Linked DNA regions of Oryzias latipes. The protein of the gene in region 2 interacts with the protein of the main gene of each other region in a pairwise test. Links are inferred from orthologs where the notes say so. Each region holds a gene or a part of one and is shown on either strand. Other genes may lie near its edges.

Region 1 (3,979 bases), on a different chromosome or scaffold from region 2:
GCAACGGTCATCTCGTAGTCACCATTAAAAATGAAATCTCGAATTAACAGATAGTATAGTGGGCTGCTGAAGGCTACTTGAATGAAGATTTTTTTGAATGTCTTTAGGTCCCTAAGCAGCAAATCCTTAAGCAGCTCCAATCACAGGAAAAAAAAGTGTTGACAACACAAAGGTCTATTTGTGAGCTCCTGATGTAACACTAAGTGATTCTAGCTTTTAAAGGTTTGACAGTTTAATAGCTCCATTATACAGCCAGCTAAAACTCAACAATGCCACACACCAGCTTAGATGACAGGACAGATGAAGACCACAACAGGCTAAATTCTAAATCTATACCTTTGCTTTACATGTTTAAAACAAATATACATGATTTTGAGCCGGGATAGCACATGTTTCAATTAGGAAATATGCTTATTTTATAGGAGGAGTTACAAAATACTATTTCAAGTTTAAGACGGATGTGTCAAAACACGAACCGAAGTGATAAAAACTAGGGATGTCCTGATCAGGTCACATGATCAAAAAATTGGGCCCAATTAACACACTATACATCCCAAGCTTATTATTTCAAAAAATGCCCTAGTAGAAGTCTGTATATCATGAACGGATCACGACTCTAGTTTGAATAGGAGTGAAGAACAAAAACATTTTGGTAAAGTTAGCAATATATTCACAGATTCAGGCTTACGGGCTGAATAACTCTCTTAAGCGCTTTAAACTAACAAAAGGTGTCTCTATCAGTTTGTCTTAAGCCAAGCAATGACCTACAAAGGCATTTCAATCAATTTTTTTCCCTCTTTAATATCTACTCTAGCAAAGAAACCGCTGCCAAGGGACCGTCTACAAAGTGAAAGCTCCAGGAAAAGTGATTAAAAAGAATCAAAACAAATAAATGGTTACATTGATATGAACTAGTCATGAATACTCATCATATTCATGCTGAAACAACAATTTTGGAGGAAAGTCATTGTTTTTAATTTTTGGAAATTTTTAATGGAACAAATCAAATCATATATGTTTAAAAAAAACGATCAATAGTTCTAAAGACACTAAAGATACAGTAACCAAACATTCTTACAAGGACTAATTATAAATATATAGTGCACTTTATAGTGCGTTCACCATTTTGTGAGGCTGTCCAAATCTACAAATCCAAAATCGAGTGGCCTAGAAATTTCCCAGAAGTCATTGATGCAGTGTGCATCAATGCTTACTAGATTGGCAAATATAGACCATTATGCATTGCGTCTGAACAATTTTTGCAAGATAAAATGTATTTAAATCTGTTTTCAAATAAAAATTCAACATTTTCATCATCAGAACACAGTGGATTCATAAACAGTTGTTGTAGAACACTCCTATCAATTAGATTTTCACTTTGTGAAATCGGTTGTCATATTCGCTGTTAGCAAAAAAAGTATTGAGCGTGGTGTCTGAATTACTTTTAAAAGGGCACTACATAGTTTACTATATAGTTTTTAGTAGTTAGGGATTAGGGAGGGAATTCGGACACAGCCTAAAGTTTTTTTTACTTTGGCTAAAAATGGCATGATTGTAATTAAGGGACTTCTAAGAACGTTTTTGAACCAATAAACAAATGATCGGTGTCAAAATGTAAAAGAAAGTTAATAAAATAAAAATAGAGGAGAACCTCGATTAGTTTATTAAAATGTTCATTTATTTGATGCGTTACAAACATATCAGATTGGGACTCATTTTAGGGAGATACTCAAAATCAAATGAATCAAACAAACTGGTGCCCAACACAAATCTAACTGGGACTTTCCTACTAAATAAAAGTTGTAACAAATTTATAAAGGTAAACCCATGTTGATTATGCATTTACTCTATTGTTTTCTGTAGGATGGAAATGTATATTTTAAAGCATAACAGGTTTTAGGAAAATAAATAATGATTTTAAAATTGTTTGACAACAAAACATTCTTTTTATCTTGATATATTATTATCCTGCAGCCTCCTGTACATTTCTCAGAACCTTGGTGGTTCGGATGTATTTCTTCTATCAGCCCGCGGCACGCATCGGTCGGGGCTGCGCTGCTCACCACAGATAGCGAGCAACGCCAAAACAGCAAAGGTTGGACAAAAATGGTCACACAGTCAATACAAGCCAAAGACACCATTTTGAAAATCCCCAGATTTTTTGTGCAACAACCTCCAGAAGCTGCCAGTTAACACGAGACGATCAATCAACACGCGTGAGGTCGAATCATTGGGAAACAAAAGCGCTGGAAACGGTTGAACTCTTATCGAAACGTTAGCTTTCAAGCTAGCCCGAAAAAGACAGCCGCTAACCGGCCGCTGCATCCCCGCATCCATCGGTGCACGCTGCTCACGTCGCTAATAGCAGGCTAGCCGATAAATTACCGGACAATTGCAGGAAAAAAACTAACAACAATAACATGGCTTAAATAATGTAAACATGTTTAAATATTTAGATTCGAAACCTATAAGCATTAACGCACATCCGGTGCATTTAGTGTGTCCATTTAGTGTCCGCTATTATCGTTAGCATTTTTAGCTTAGCCCGCTAGATTCCCACTAGTCACCACGGAGGACAATTGAAGGGAAAGGGAGGGGGAAGAAGTCAAAGAACGCAGATATAAAAAGTCGACCTATGGACATTTCTGCCCTCCACGACAGCCAGCAAAACGGGACTCACCGAAACCACTCGAAAACAAAGACTTCTCGGCGTGCTGCGGTGCGCTCGGTCGGTGAGGACTGGTTCTTTCTGCTCGGCCAGTGACGCTTGGAAACAGCTTTCAACCGGAGAGACGGCCGACGTGTGGGGGATGGGGATGCACCGCCGAGAGGGAAGGAGGGAGGGATGCTGGGATGCAAGCAGAACGGCGGGGGGGACGAGGCACCGATTATGAACGGCGGAGGGGGTCCGATCAGCGGATCAATGCGCTCCAAACCACGAGGAGAATGGGAATTTGCGAAGTCACATTTTTTGTTTTGTTTTAATAATAAAGACAACATTATGGGGGGAAAAAATCTTAGGTTAATACTTTATTATTGTAAATAATTAGTAATACATACTATATGAAGCGGCAACATACATGCAACTGCTTTTGGCAAATTATATTATAATATTGTTTGCATTGTTTTTTTTTCTGTACAAAGAAAATCTGGACGTAGTCTATCTTTCTGTCTTCATGTACGTTTTCTACACAGCAAGACAGCGCCGCCATGTGGTCATAAACCAGGTTGCTCACGAATTGTAATTTGTTGATTTCAAACAATCACATTTTCTTCAGAACTGGCTTAATCCTTGGTGGTATGTATTCAACAAGGTGCTGGAAACATTCCTCAGAGAGTTTTGTCCGTATTAACATGATAACATCACGCAGTTGCCTCGGGTTTGTTGGCTGCACATCCATGATGCCAATCTCCCGTGCCACCACCTCCCAAAGGTGATCTATTGGGTTGAGATCTGGTGACTGTGGAGGTCATTTGAGTCCAGTGAACTCATAGTCATGTTCAAGAAACCAGTCTGAGATGATTCCAGCTTTATGACATGGTGCATTATCCTACTGGAAGTACCAAAAGTAGAAACTGTGGTCATAAAGGGACGGACATGGTCAGCGACAATACACAGGTACACTGTGAAGTTGAAAAGATCCTCAATTGGTACTAAGGGACCCAAAGTGTGCCCCCACACCAGTGCACCACCAGCACCAGCCTAAACTCTTGATATAAGACTGGATGGCTCCATGATTTCATGTTTTTGATGCCAAATTCTGACCCTACCATCCAAATGTTGAAGCAGAGATGGAGATTCATCAGACCAGACAAGGTTTTTCCAATCTTCTATTGTCCAGTTTTGGTGAGTCTGTGTTAATTGCAGCCTCAGTTTCCTGTTCTTAGCTGACAGGAGCGGCACCCGGTGAGGTTCTCTGCTGCTGTAGCCCATCTGCCTCACGGTTGGACATGTTGTGCATACAAAGATGCTCTTCTG
Region 2 (3,535 bases):
AGCTAGCGGGACAGAGTGTAAACAAAGAAATGATGGGACATCAGAGGTGAATTTGATGAACTCCTGCCGCTCTGCAGAAACTATGTCCTAGAAAACGACATGCTCTAATTTTGGCTAAAAACGTTGAAAAAAATAGAACAGAAGATGACCGGAGTGGGTCTTTGAAACTACTTTTGCATTTAGTTTTGGTAAATATTCATCTAAATACATGTAAATACCTATTATTAAAACACAGTAAGGGGCAATGAGGGGATCTGCGTCCTGAGACTCTTCCTGTTGTCTCTGCTGCAATTTTTAGAGATCTGTTGGGAAATCTGAACGACAAGTCCTCAAAGAAGCTTTGACCTCCGTTTGCACCGTATGTGAGACATGCGTGTTACACAGCTTCTGCAACACGGAGGCGGAGCGAGAAGTTCACGCAGCAGCAGACGTTTGACAGAACGGGTTCATGGTTGACAATCCTGAGATTTCAGAGTGAGTGCAAAGACCTCACATCCACAGAAAGGAAGCTTACTGATCAGTTTATTACCAAACCAAGAATTATATTTTTATTGAGGTCAGAGACAAATCCACAAACAAGGAAAAAGACAAGATGCTCTGTTGACGTCCGTCTAAGAAAGAACAGAACAGAATCTTCTCAAAGCCACACAAACGCCGTTCCGTCTCTGCGTTTCTGAACGCAGATGCAGTGAAAAGAAGAGCAGGAAACAGCAATTATAGTCTAGAGCTAAGCAACCAACAGGGAAATGAGTTACAACACGGAGCGTTTTGGACTGAGCTAAGATCCGTGTCACCGATCGTCTCACTGTTACAAAAATATTCATCTGATTGAAGGCGGGAAAACAGAGAAGGGCGGGAAAACAGCGGACCAGACTGAGCTCGGATCATGCAGCTTCAGCTGGGACCTCAAACTAAAATGTTCAGATTCATTGGAGCACAGAAACCATGAAGGGGGGGCGGGTTTCCATGACAACCGCGGCGCTGCAGCAGCAGAACGGATGCAGCCGCTCACAGCTGGAAACCACTCCTCTGTGGACTGTAGCGTCAATCAGCCGGACCGAATCATGTGATGGAGGGGGGGGCTGTCGGGCAACTGCAATTGAGAATTAATTCTGTGGGGGAGGAGGAGGAGGGGCGGGGGGCATCCCAAAGGGTGGCATGCCCGGAACTCCCATCCCCATCATGGTAACAAAATTGGAAGGGTCCATGGGTGGCGGAGGGGGCGGCGGAACATACATCATGCTGGTGGAGCCCGGAGGTGGTGGGGGTGGCGGCGGAGGGGCGCCTGGGGGCAAGGGGGGCTGGACCCCGGGAGGAGGCGGCACCATGGATGCGGTTCCGATGGGCAGAGGGGGCTGAGCTGCAGACACAGAAGGCTGTTGGGGCTGCTGCCATGGAGGCAGCGTGCCGGTGCTGGAGGTGGTGGTGGTGGTGTCTGCGAGGGAGGAGGAGGGGACAGACGGTCACCAAACGGCGCCAAAACGCAGCAACACCGCCCTGGCGTGACCCTGCTGGGGTCTGACATGCACTGCACCAGATTCTGGTTGGATACTTACTCTGCTGCCACGGCAGCGGTGTACTTGTTGCCATGCTGCTTGTAGGAGGAGGGGGCGGAGCCTGTTGTTGCCATGGTGGCAAGGGAGCGGAGGGTGGTGGAGGGGGCTGGCTGCTGGGGGGTGGAGGAGGTGGTGGCATCATACCCATTGGAGGTGGCATCATACCTAAACAAACAGATGTGATGCTCAGTTCTGCTTTGAAGGTTCAGAGGAAGGCGCCGCCTTCCACCTTTATTTATAAACCAAATCAATCTTTATTTATAAAACACTTTAAACACAAAAATCCTTTACACCAAAGTAAATATTATATAAAATTGAAAGCACAATAATATACTTTTTTTTGCCAGAATTGATTGACTGTAAATGGGAACTGGACTGAGTGACCCCTCCCCCCCCGGCGTTCCAAACAGGAAGTACCTGCTGGCTCCAAAAAGCCAAAATTCCAGACTTCGATAGAGAACTAAGGACCGCTCTGGCTCAGATTCCTATTTTAAAATCTTGATAATGCTAAATGTTTTTAAAATCTCTTTTCTTTCTTGCAAGTCACTCAAGTTATAAACGGACCAATCAGACGCCCCGCTAAATGTGAGCGTTGAAAACGTGTGATTGACAGATTCTCCTGAGCCTGCTTTCAGGTGTGGCCTTTCAACAAGCTCACTCCTGGTTGCCATAGAAACGTCTACTCAGGCAGATCCCTTCTTACTGATGGTTCCAACATGACGGCGTCCATACCGTGAGAAAGTGGCGACTGAATTGACTTCATTAGGTTGGGGCCAGAAGTGAACCGTTTTACTTGCTGACCGCTACATTTGAATTTGAAAGTCAGTTTGTTTGAAAAGAAGAGTAATATTTACATTGTGCGTCTTCTGGGCAATGAAAGCTCCTACCCATGGGGTGTCCATGGGGTCCCTGGCCCATGGGAGGTGGGGGCGGCTGCATCCAGGGTGGGGGCATTCCGTTAGGATTGGGAGGAAGCGGTGGTCCTCCCATGCTAGGCATCGGGGGAGGGAAGCCGTGGGGTCCAGCGGGACCTCCCTGAACAGCAGAGTAGTTCCTGTTCTCTGAGGGGCCAGAGCTCATCCAGGGGGGGCGGTTCTGAAACACACATCAGCTAAGACGCTTTCCACTCATCAAAGAAGCAGCTCCAGTCTGTTTCCTGAACTGACCATCGCCTGGTTGCTGTTGGGGCCGGAATTCCGAGATCCTGACTGAGAGTTGGAGTGTCCCCCGCCAGAGCTGGGGACGGGGGCCTCCCCCAGCTCAGCCATGAGGGACAGGTATTCTTTGTCCATACGAGCCTTGTCCTGCGCTGACTGGGGGGGCTCCCCGCCTGTGGCTCTGTGGGCAGCGAAGGTGCTGCAGAACAACAACAACAAATGAATCTTTGTGACGAGTTCTGCAACTGGAACCTCCAGACCGAGGCTGATGGTTACCTGGTGTACTTGCAGTCAGAAGAGATGTGACCGGCTCCACCACACTTTGTGCAAAGGGTGGTGTTGGTGATGCTGCGTGGCTCCGAGTTCTGCCAAGGACGAAGAATCCTGCAAGGAAAAACGAGGAAACAATCTTCAGCGCCGCTTTCAACATAAAGCTTGAACCTTTCCCTAAATCCTCCTTTCGTGGAGTCGTTTTTATGGGCAGAACAGCCCATAGCGCCACACACACACACCTGTTGTCGTCTTCTCTGAGAGTGCCGTTGAGTCTGGCCAGCTCCCTCAGCTGCATCTTGCGTAGGTCGTTTTGGTCCTCAGGCGTCTCGATTCCTTGCTTGAGGATGTTTCGGATCTGTGAACAGTTTTCCCATCAGAACCAAATCTGCTCCTGTAGCTGGAAACACATCAGACTGGGAAGTGTCCACCAGCAAACACACCTGCTCCACAGCCTTCTTGACATTTTCCATGGTGTTGGCCGTGACCAAGGCGTGCAGAGGCTCGTCCTCTCCGGGCAGCATCTGGCCATCCTTTCGCCCGACCTTCCCT
Region 3 (4,275 bases), on a different chromosome or scaffold from region 2:
ATCTATCAGGTTGATAAAAAAACGAGTTCAAATGATGCTTTTCACAAAAACCATGCTACTTTCTACGGAACTCACCTTCTCCTCTGGCTTCTGGATTTCCTCTTCACCAATCTTCTTACCAATGGCTGTCTCTTCAACACCAAAGATATCAGTACGCCTCTCAGCGAGCTGCTTCAAGCTGCTCTCGATATCCAGACCAGGAGCATAGACTTCATCCTCTGTCTGTCTATCCCTGATGCTGCGGTCTCTTTGTTCCAGCCAGCGTGGGTCCAGCAGACCAATGCGCATGTGCTCCTGCATCTTGCTGGCTGGGATCTTCTCACCAGTGATTGGTGAAATGAGGTACTCATCTGGAGCTGCAACTGAGGGCATAGGCTTGGAGGCTGTGAAAAAAAAAAAAAAAAAAGGAAACAAGTTTTAATGCACCGCTTGTTTTATTTGCTTGTTTTTATACTTCATAATATTTCAATCACAGAAAAAAATGTACCTTTGGGATCATAGTCTTTTCGAATGATGACGTGGTCTGGAGTCGGGGGCAGAGGAGGTGGCATGGGGTTGTCAGGTGGAAGTGGAGCTTTAATTCCATCGTCCTCATCATCTGATCCCTGGAGAAGTAGCATTTTAAATTTGTGAATTTGCTACACAAGTAACCAAGAAACCTAGACAAGTGTTGGACTTTGTATAAATGTAGTAAATGATAACTGTTTACCTCATCCATGTCCTGCACTTGTGTGTCTTGGTCAGGCTGTGAGGGTTGACCTCCGGCTCGTTTCTCCCGTTCATCCTCTTCATCCTCACTCTCAACTTCCATCTCCACCTCCTCACTTTCTCCATACTTCTCATAGCGCTCCTGGATGAGGATTCGAGCACCAAGCTCCTCTGGAGTGGTAGGTGGGGGGAAGTGGCCTTGGAAAAACACCAAATGAATAAATTAATAACTATGGTTCTTGCAACATCTGGACCTGGTGTTCCTATAGTCATGCTACCTTGTTCATTGGGCTGGAAGTCCACAGTCTCCACCACGACAAAGTCATGCCAGTCAATTTGAGCATAGGCTACGCGTTCCTTCTCTCGCTCCTCTTCCTCCTTCTTTCTCTCACGCTCCTGGTACTTTGCCCACTCAACACGGTATCTCACCTGATGTTTGTAACAAGACAGTTTTAAACATAGAAAATAATCTTCTGAAGGCTAAAATAAATTACCTGGTCCATAACCTCCTTTGGATTCTCAGCCTCTCTCTTTAGTTTGGCCAGCAGACCCTTTGGGGGGATCAGAATCTAAAGGTTGAGGCAACATTTAAAAAAGTTCAATAACACAGTTTCAATAAAAAAACAAAGAAAGCTGTAATTTTTGTCCTTTACCTTGGTATATTGTTCCACCAGTTTTGTGAAGTAGTTGAAAAGGCTGTGCTGGGGTCTCAAAAAGTCAAATTGGTAGTTCCTCTGTTCTTTTTGCATGAGCTGGGTGAGAAACTGACGGCCGTTTCGTGCAACAAACTGGGCAGTGAGCTTCACAACATCAAGATCGAATGCAGAGATTGATGGAGGATCAGCTATGAATTCAAACTCTGGAGGCGGTTCTTTGGGGACCACAGTTTCCTGAATCACCTGGGACTGCACCTGATGAAGAAAAGGCAAGTTTGTATAAATATAAACCCTTGTAGGTCCGGGCACAGTAAATAGACAGTCCTTACTTTTTGTGGAAGCTGCTGAGATTGCTGCATAGCCTGCTGCATAACCTTGGGCACTGCGGCGGACGGTTCTTGAGCTTTGCCCTCCTTAAACTCATTGACTTTGTGGCGGTAGTAAGCATGGTAGGGATCGTTGGGGTTGAGGAAATTAAATTTTGGATTGTTGATCTCATTCTGACGGATTCTTGCTTCAAACTCAGGCCCATTCCTGTAAAGTGACAAGTATAGAGTCAAACTACAGATAGCAAACACCTCTTACAGCTGTACGTGACAGTTCTTTGGCAACCAACCTGGCAACAAAGCTCGCAGTCTTGTCAACTATATTACGGACCTCAGGAGGAGGATATATGATGCCAACAATAGGTTTAGTGGCTGGAGTTTCCTCCGGAGGTGTATCATTCTGACAAGAGAAGGTTCAAAGTAAGAATATTTATATTTAAAAATAACATCAAGTACAGTGAAGTTCCTCCTTAAAAATATTATTACACAAACATTATCAATTCACTTATTAATTAATAAGACTTACTTTAGGTAATTCTAAGATACACTGCAACAATTTAAACATTAAACCACTCGATCATTAAAAACCTGAGAATACAACTAACACATTTAGTCTAAACCATATGCAAAGATACCAAATATTGAAGTGCAATCATAGTTTAAGTAATATCTGTTACCTAATTTTATTGACTTTCTCAACTTGGGAATTTTTAGGGCCACACATATAGACGCAAACGTTGCCCCATATGTTTTACAGCTTTATAAACATTAGCATTTAATTTTGGACAGGCTTAGAAAGCTTTGCATAAAGGGGGCGAATTTTATAAGGCGATAAATCATTAAGAAAAGCGACGGATATCTGAGGCTAATGTTAGCTAGTTAGCGTCCTTACCTTGTTGTTAGGCTCAGGCTGAACCATTTGAACAGGCCCGGGCGGCATGGCTGCGTCTTTTTAACGAATCACCAATTTTACCTGAAAACACTAAAGCAACACACATATATTTTGAAATGAATTCTTTAAAAAAAATTCTGTAAGTCAAAAAGTAATAGCTAATACAGCTATAATTCTTTATTTGTCGACGTTAATACTCACCGCGTCTCGTTTTCGTTAACGCAATGGCGGCCAATTACTTCCGGAAATATCCGCTAAGAACTGTGGGACTTGGAGTTAACTGTTGCCAAGGAGACCTCACGTCAACAAGTACTTATAGGCGCCAAATAAGCGTTTTAGACATGAGTTTGTTGTTGGGTCGTCAGGATTCTATCAAGAATCTAAGAAAAGACCTCATCGATATTCAGGGTGCGGTTCTGGACGTGCTCTCCAGAACAGGACCAGTCTGCGCTTCCTCCTGGAAATTCCCGGACAAACTTTCCTGTCATCTAGACATTGTTGCTTTGTTGGAGGAATATGACTTCGTGGCAGGAGAAGATGACTTCAATCAGCATTCCCACATTATTCTCCTGGAATTGATGATTGACAGGTAACCTAATGTTGTATTGCATGTAAAATATATATATATATATATATATATATATATATATATATATATATATATATATATATATATATATATAATGACTTTAAAAGCATCTCTGCATGTTCTTGTTCCCCAACAAGGCTCCTGTTTCTTCTTCAAAGCGTCAGCGTTTATGCTGAACAACAGATGGGGGTCCACAGACCAGAAGGAGCTGCACACAGAGGCAGCATGTCAGTTGGTCTTGTGGTCAGGAATTATTGGGGGGATTTACTTCAATTTGCAGATAAAAAGGTAAAGAAACCTCTTTTTCTAGTAATGCCACAGGGATAAAAACACATGCAAAAGTATTTGACTTTAAATGCCTTTTATGTCTTTTTAGGAACTCTTCAAAAACATTGCAGAAAAGACAAATTCAGTGGAATCTGATGAGTCAAACGTCGAGTCCCCTCTCAATAGATCCAGCACAAGTTGCTCCAGGCATTCTTCCATATCCTGGTCTTCCACAAGCTCATTTAAATTCCTCCCACAAAATAACATCACCATCAGTTCCCCCGAACAAACCTCATTCCATCCTAAAACTGCCTCCCATAATGTCAGCTGCCAGACTGCACAAACGTCCCTCATCCCTTGTGGTACATGTCACCAAGTGCAATCTCTTTTGAGAAAAACTGGAGAATCTTTGATAGATCTGTTTCAAAGTGAAGGTCTACCCTCATCTCTGCAGCCTCTCTCAGCAGTTGTGGATGAGACAGTGAGGGTGGGACATCTGACTCCAGGTGATGTTGCACAGTGGGCCAATGAACAGCTCAGAGACATGCGCAGGCTGGCAAAACACCTGCAGGATGTGAGGGGAACGGTACTGCCCCTCCAAGACAGAGTAGCAGCAGCTGAAACGGATCGTGAGGCCATCAGATCTCAACTAAAAACAGTGCAGAAGGATTTTGAACAACAACTAGAAAAACAGCAAACAAATATAGAACAACTGGAGTTTTCACTGCAGGAAGCACAGAGAAGCGCAAAGCAAACTGAACAAAAGCAACAGGAGGAGCATAAACAGCTTAAAAAAGGTATTAATCACATTAACCAGCACAATAAAAACAAGTTAGG
Region 4 (4,110 bases), on a different chromosome or scaffold from region 2:
AAACCCGCTGGGAGCTGGCTGCGCCGCTAAAAACAATCTTTAGCTGGGATTTGTGGAGGGAACAGAGATTTTACCAGCCATGTTGGCACCTTTGATTGGTTAGACTGATGATGTACATGTTTGAGCCTCTAAACTTGATTGGCAGAAAGGGTTTTACAAGTAAAACTTTTTCCAAGTTACAGAGATTGGGTAAAGTTGCAATGTCAAGAAAAAGTTGCAAGTGTGCAATTCCAACATCTGAAAGTCCTGGAGGGTCGGTAAATAATTACCAACAATGGTTTTTAACTTAACTTGTTCTTTGGGAATGAGAGACATGTTAAGTATCATCTTGAGAAATTACCTTGGAGAAGTCAGGAGGAGGATTTTTGCCTCTGCACAGGTTAGACAGTGCCCAAACTGCATTCCTCATCATTGTTAAACGATTCTGTTTAGCCAATAATCTGAAAAAAGGAGTTCGATGTTCAAACATGGACTTGTTCATATTTATCTCACGTGAAACGAGAACCATAGAGCTGTTTAACAATAATCTGCTACTTACTGGATCAGGGATGGTAGAATATTGCAGTCTATGACAAAGTCTCTGCATTCTGTGCTATCACCTGCTATATTACCCAAAGCCCACACTGCCTACAGAAGAGGAAATAATTCAAGTTAGACATAAAAAAACGAATTTACGAAATATGTAATAATTTGAAAATAAGAATATGAAAAGAGATAAATATTGACAACAAAAATGTCCCTCACCTGTTCTTGCACATCTTCAAAATCCGAGGCGAGCATCTCTATGAATATGGGAACAGCTCCTGCCTGGATTACGACCCTAGTCTGGTGGGATGTGCCTGAAGCAATGTTGGTCAAAACCCACGCAGCTTCAAACTAAGAAAAACACGACCAATTTATGTCAGGACAGACAAAAAAAACTCCATCTAAAACACTATAGCTCATGATTACTAGACTAGCTGCATTTGTTCAGGCATTAAACCACTTTACCTGCAATGTGCAATTTTCTCTTCTTTTTAGGAACTCAACAAAACGCTCCACCACCCCTGAAGTGGCAATGACCTCATCAATAGGTGGATTGGGCTCTGTTGGAGACAAAAATTGAGACAATTTTTATTTAATTAAAAATTAAAAATAAATCAAATCAGAACAGTCTTTCGTTATTTTTGTAATATTAAAAAAAAATGAAAGAAATGAAGATGATGCAGCAAATTGAATTTGAACATGATCAAGATTGTTTCTAGTTCTAGATAACTTACAAGGCTGTTTAGCTCTAGTTAAACAGTAGAATGTGTTGATGCATTTGTTCATCGCTCTATGCGATATAGAACAGGCTGGCATTCAGCTAGACCTTTACCTTTAGAAAGGAGTTTTCTAAAGCGTTGTGTGCCTATTAGCTGCTGCTCTGGAGTGCTGGAGAAAATCATCTGAATCATGTCCTCAGAAATGACCCCACCCTTTGCAGAACATAGTAAAAACAATAACAGATCAGTCAAATTTATTGTGAAAGATGCAACAAACAACACCATAAAAAAGGTTTTATTGAGCTAATTCTCACCCCAAATGGGTCCATGTTGTTAGCCTGGGATTCCAGATAACCACTATCTGCCATTCCATCATCCTCCAGGGCACCATCATCCTCCACAGTGGCAACATTTCTTCTTTTAAATAGCTGCAAAGACACAGTCCTTAAAGTTGTACAAAGAAATAGTACAGCATCTTTTGGTTTTATTATTATATGTACTTTGACTAGGTAAGAAGCAGCATAACAAAAATAACTGCTGTTACCAGTTTGTATATCTTCTACTTGTCTTATATGGAAGTAACACAATTCCATATTGTAAAAACCTAAGCAATTTATGAGGGGGGAAAAAAGCTAGGAAAACACACTAAATTATTGTGTTTGATGGATGAATATAAAGTTTACACTTTACTTACTTGTTCGTCCTTCTTCTGTTTTCTGAGCTGCAGGCCTTCCTCTTCCCTCCTTCTTCTCATCTCATCTGTGTTGAGAGACTTGTTCTTGTAGCTCTTCAGTCGTGCATTATCCTTCCCCTGACTCATTTTGTAGCCTGAGAAAATGAAGAATTTTAGTCTCGTTAGTAGTCCCGGTGGTGCAGAACTTTAGTGTTACAGATCCTGGAAAACCCACATGTTGTAGATGTATTGTAATGTCTGTATTTTCTTTTACATTCTTCTGTGTATTTCTTCAGGTTTTCATGACAATCACCGCAATGTATAGCAAAACCAAGAATGCAGGTCGTTTTCAGACGTCTCGAACATATTACTCAAGATTGTCAGAAGGGCTTGTAGCAGTTAGCTTTATAGTTTGCTAGCTTTCGGCATGTTTGCCCAATACCAAAATCATTACTGTGGAACAAATGACTTTTCTTTCTATTTATAGAGAGATATGGGTTCTCATTAGAAATCAAGACATCAAACAGTCTATAGTAAAAAATGCTTATTTACTTAATTTCCCACATGATTAGCTTGTTGATGTCACAGCTCTTGCTAGCCTCTGCTGCTAACGAGCTAGCTTGACGTTAGCTTAGCTGAAAACCCCGAGTAACACATGCCTTTTAACAGCTTATTTGTCACCAAACTTTTAAACACACATACTAAAATCATTTATTCGTAATCTAAAAGCGGTAAAAGTATAGAACAACAATGTGTAGATACATTATACATACCTGTCAGTTTAGGTTTTATAATCCCCTAAATCGCTAAGCCACTGCTTCTGCTGCCGTCGCCGGTATGCCACTACGCATGCGTCAAATAAACGTATTCAGTGACGCTCCTTTGGCTCCACCCACACAAGGAGCTGGCCCTGGTAAACAAGTGAATAGTTGTGCGGTTTTCAAAAAAAATGGACACAAACTCTAATGATGGAGTTTCTTTTTGAAGCACAGTCGGTATGTGGGTATCGCAGTTCAATCAATGGCTGAAATCGTGCTTTCAAACTTCAAGGAGGGGTCGTGTGTGCAACACCTGCCCGCGTGCAGGTGTGTTTTTAAATGTTTTTGAAGTGGCCCTGACTAGACGATCCGGCGCCTGTGGTCTTTAAATGACCCGAGGTGGACACCGTGTCCATCCAAATGATGAAGTGGCCTTAAATGTTTGGGCTGCAAAAGATTAACAGATGTTAAAAGTGATACTTCTCAACAAAGGAAAAAGAAATTAGGATCATGACATAAAAAAATTAAGCTAAGCAATAGACAGAACCAACACAATGGCCTAATTGGCGCATACATTCAAATCTGCATCCCAAAAATAGCTCTTAAATTAGTTTTTTTAGCCTAATTTAACCTCCTTTTTATTCCTAAAAGTACGAATTGATACACCTGTAAAATAATCTGAAGAACAAAGCCTTTGAGTGCCCAAACATCTGCAATCATTGTTTCAGGTTTTATTTTGAAAGTATTTAAATTTAAAACTCTCCAGACTAACTTGGAACTGATCGAAATTTGTGTTCCAAAAATGGCCTCGGTGCAAACAACTGTGGATGTCCAGAGCGCGCACGTCCTCAGCGAGGACTGCTTTGACATGTGGCACGACTACATGAACCTGGGCGCACTCCTGCAAAGGCTGTGCAACCGGCGGCAGGTCGACCCCGAGAAGCCGAAGCAGGAACCCGCGGCGCCGTGGCGCATCATCCAGACGCAGAGCTCCGCAGAGACGAGCTCCGTCAGCAGCCTCTCGGACACCAGTTGCGGCGGGAGCCCCGCAGATTACTGCCGCTTCTGCAAGCAGAACGGCGAGACTCGGCAGGTCTACCGCTCGCACGCGCTCAGGTCGGACGACAGGAAGGTCACCTGCCCCATCCTCCGAAACTACACCTGTCCCATCTGCGGGGCCACCGGAGACCGCGCTCACACGCGCAAGTATTGCCCGCAAGCGCAGAGAGAGGATGCTGCGAGGATGCTGCCCGCCAACAAGTTCTGGTAACTGATGATGATGATGATCCCACTGAAGAGACCAGTTATCCACCGTTGAGACAATGTTTTCAGTTAAACACCAAAGGAAAAACCGAAATCATCGTTACAAGTTTTTAGAGTCTATAGCAGTTTCAGAGCTGGTTCATGTTTGACTTTAAAAATCTGCTTGATTGTC

Evidence for each region. The genes of interacting proteins can lie anywhere in the genome.
Region 1: the proteins of sf1 (region 2) and fam168a interact in binary tests that used the Homo sapiens proteins (3 or more experiments, as listed by UniProt). The two-hybrid records come from large-scale screens. The link is inferred for Oryzias latipes from reciprocal best matches to the Homo sapiens genes SF1 and FAM168A.
Region 3: the proteins of sf1 (region 2) and sf3a1 interact in binary tests that used the Homo sapiens proteins (3 or more experiments, as listed by UniProt). The link is inferred for Oryzias latipes from reciprocal best matches to the Homo sapiens genes SF1 and SF3A1.
Region 4: the proteins of sf1 (region 2) and kpna1 interact in binary tests that used the Homo sapiens proteins (3 or more experiments, as listed by UniProt). The link is inferred for Oryzias latipes from reciprocal best matches to the Homo sapiens genes SF1 and KPNA1.

Annotation. Positions count from the first base shown.
Region 1 is NC_019871.2:20,750,909-20,754,887, forward strand, and holds the start of fam168a (protein FAM168A), read right to left. Parts: upstream 2,807-3,979; 5' UTR 2,681-2,806; intron 2,096-2,680; exon of another isoform or gene 1,301-2,095; intron 1-1,300.
Region 2 is NC_019876.2:29,186,653-29,190,187, reverse strand, and holds the end of sf1 (splicing factor 1), read right to left. Parts: coding exon 3,427-3,535; intron 3,342-3,426; coding exon 3,226-3,341; intron 3,098-3,225; coding exon 2,990-3,097; intron 2,913-2,989; coding exon 2,723-2,912; intron 2,652-2,722; coding exon 2,411-2,651; intron 1,722-2,410; coding exon 1,557-1,721; intron 1,436-1,556; coding exon 1,107-1,435; 3' UTR 506-1,106; downstream 1-505. UniProt on the Homo sapiens protein: Necessary for the ATP-dependent first step of spliceosome assembly. Binds to the intron branch point sequence (BPS) 5'-UACUAAC-3' of the pre-mRNA. May act as transcription repressor.
Region 3 is NC_019867.2:18,886,034-18,890,308, forward strand, and holds the start of sf3a1 (splicing factor 3A subunit 1), read right to left. Parts: upstream 2,807-4,275; 5' UTR 2,784-2,806; intron 2,673-2,783; 5' UTR 2,631-2,672; coding exon 2,583-2,630; intron 2,091-2,582; coding exon 1,981-2,090; intron 1,899-1,980; coding exon 1,694-1,898; intron 1,620-1,693; coding exon 1,362-1,619; intron 1,278-1,361; coding exon 1,203-1,277; intron 1,138-1,202; coding exon 987-1,137; intron 907-986; coding exon 710-906; intron 606-709; coding exon 488-605; intron 384-487; coding exon 76-383; intron 1-75. Other genes in the region: ccdc157 (coiled-coil domain-containing protein 157), read left to right, coding at 2,807-3,171, 3,309-3,459, 3,548-4,235. UniProt on the Homo sapiens protein: Component of the 17S U2 SnRNP complex of the spliceosome, a large ribonucleoprotein complex that removes introns from transcribed pre-mRNAs.
Region 4 is NC_019878.2:17,889,056-17,893,165, forward strand, and holds the start of kpna1 (importin subunit alpha-5), read right to left. Parts: upstream 2,807-4,110; 5' UTR 2,691-2,806; intron 2,073-2,690; 5' UTR 2,065-2,072; coding exon 1,939-2,064; intron 1,673-1,938; coding exon 1,559-1,672; intron 1,458-1,558; coding exon 1,358-1,457; intron 1,086-1,357; coding exon 991-1,085; intron 877-990; coding exon 745-876; intron 628-744; coding exon 539-627; intron 441-538; coding exon 341-440; intron 1-340. UniProt on the Homo sapiens protein: Functions in nuclear protein import as an adapter protein for nuclear receptor KPNB1. Binds specifically and directly to substrates containing either a simple or bipartite NLS motif.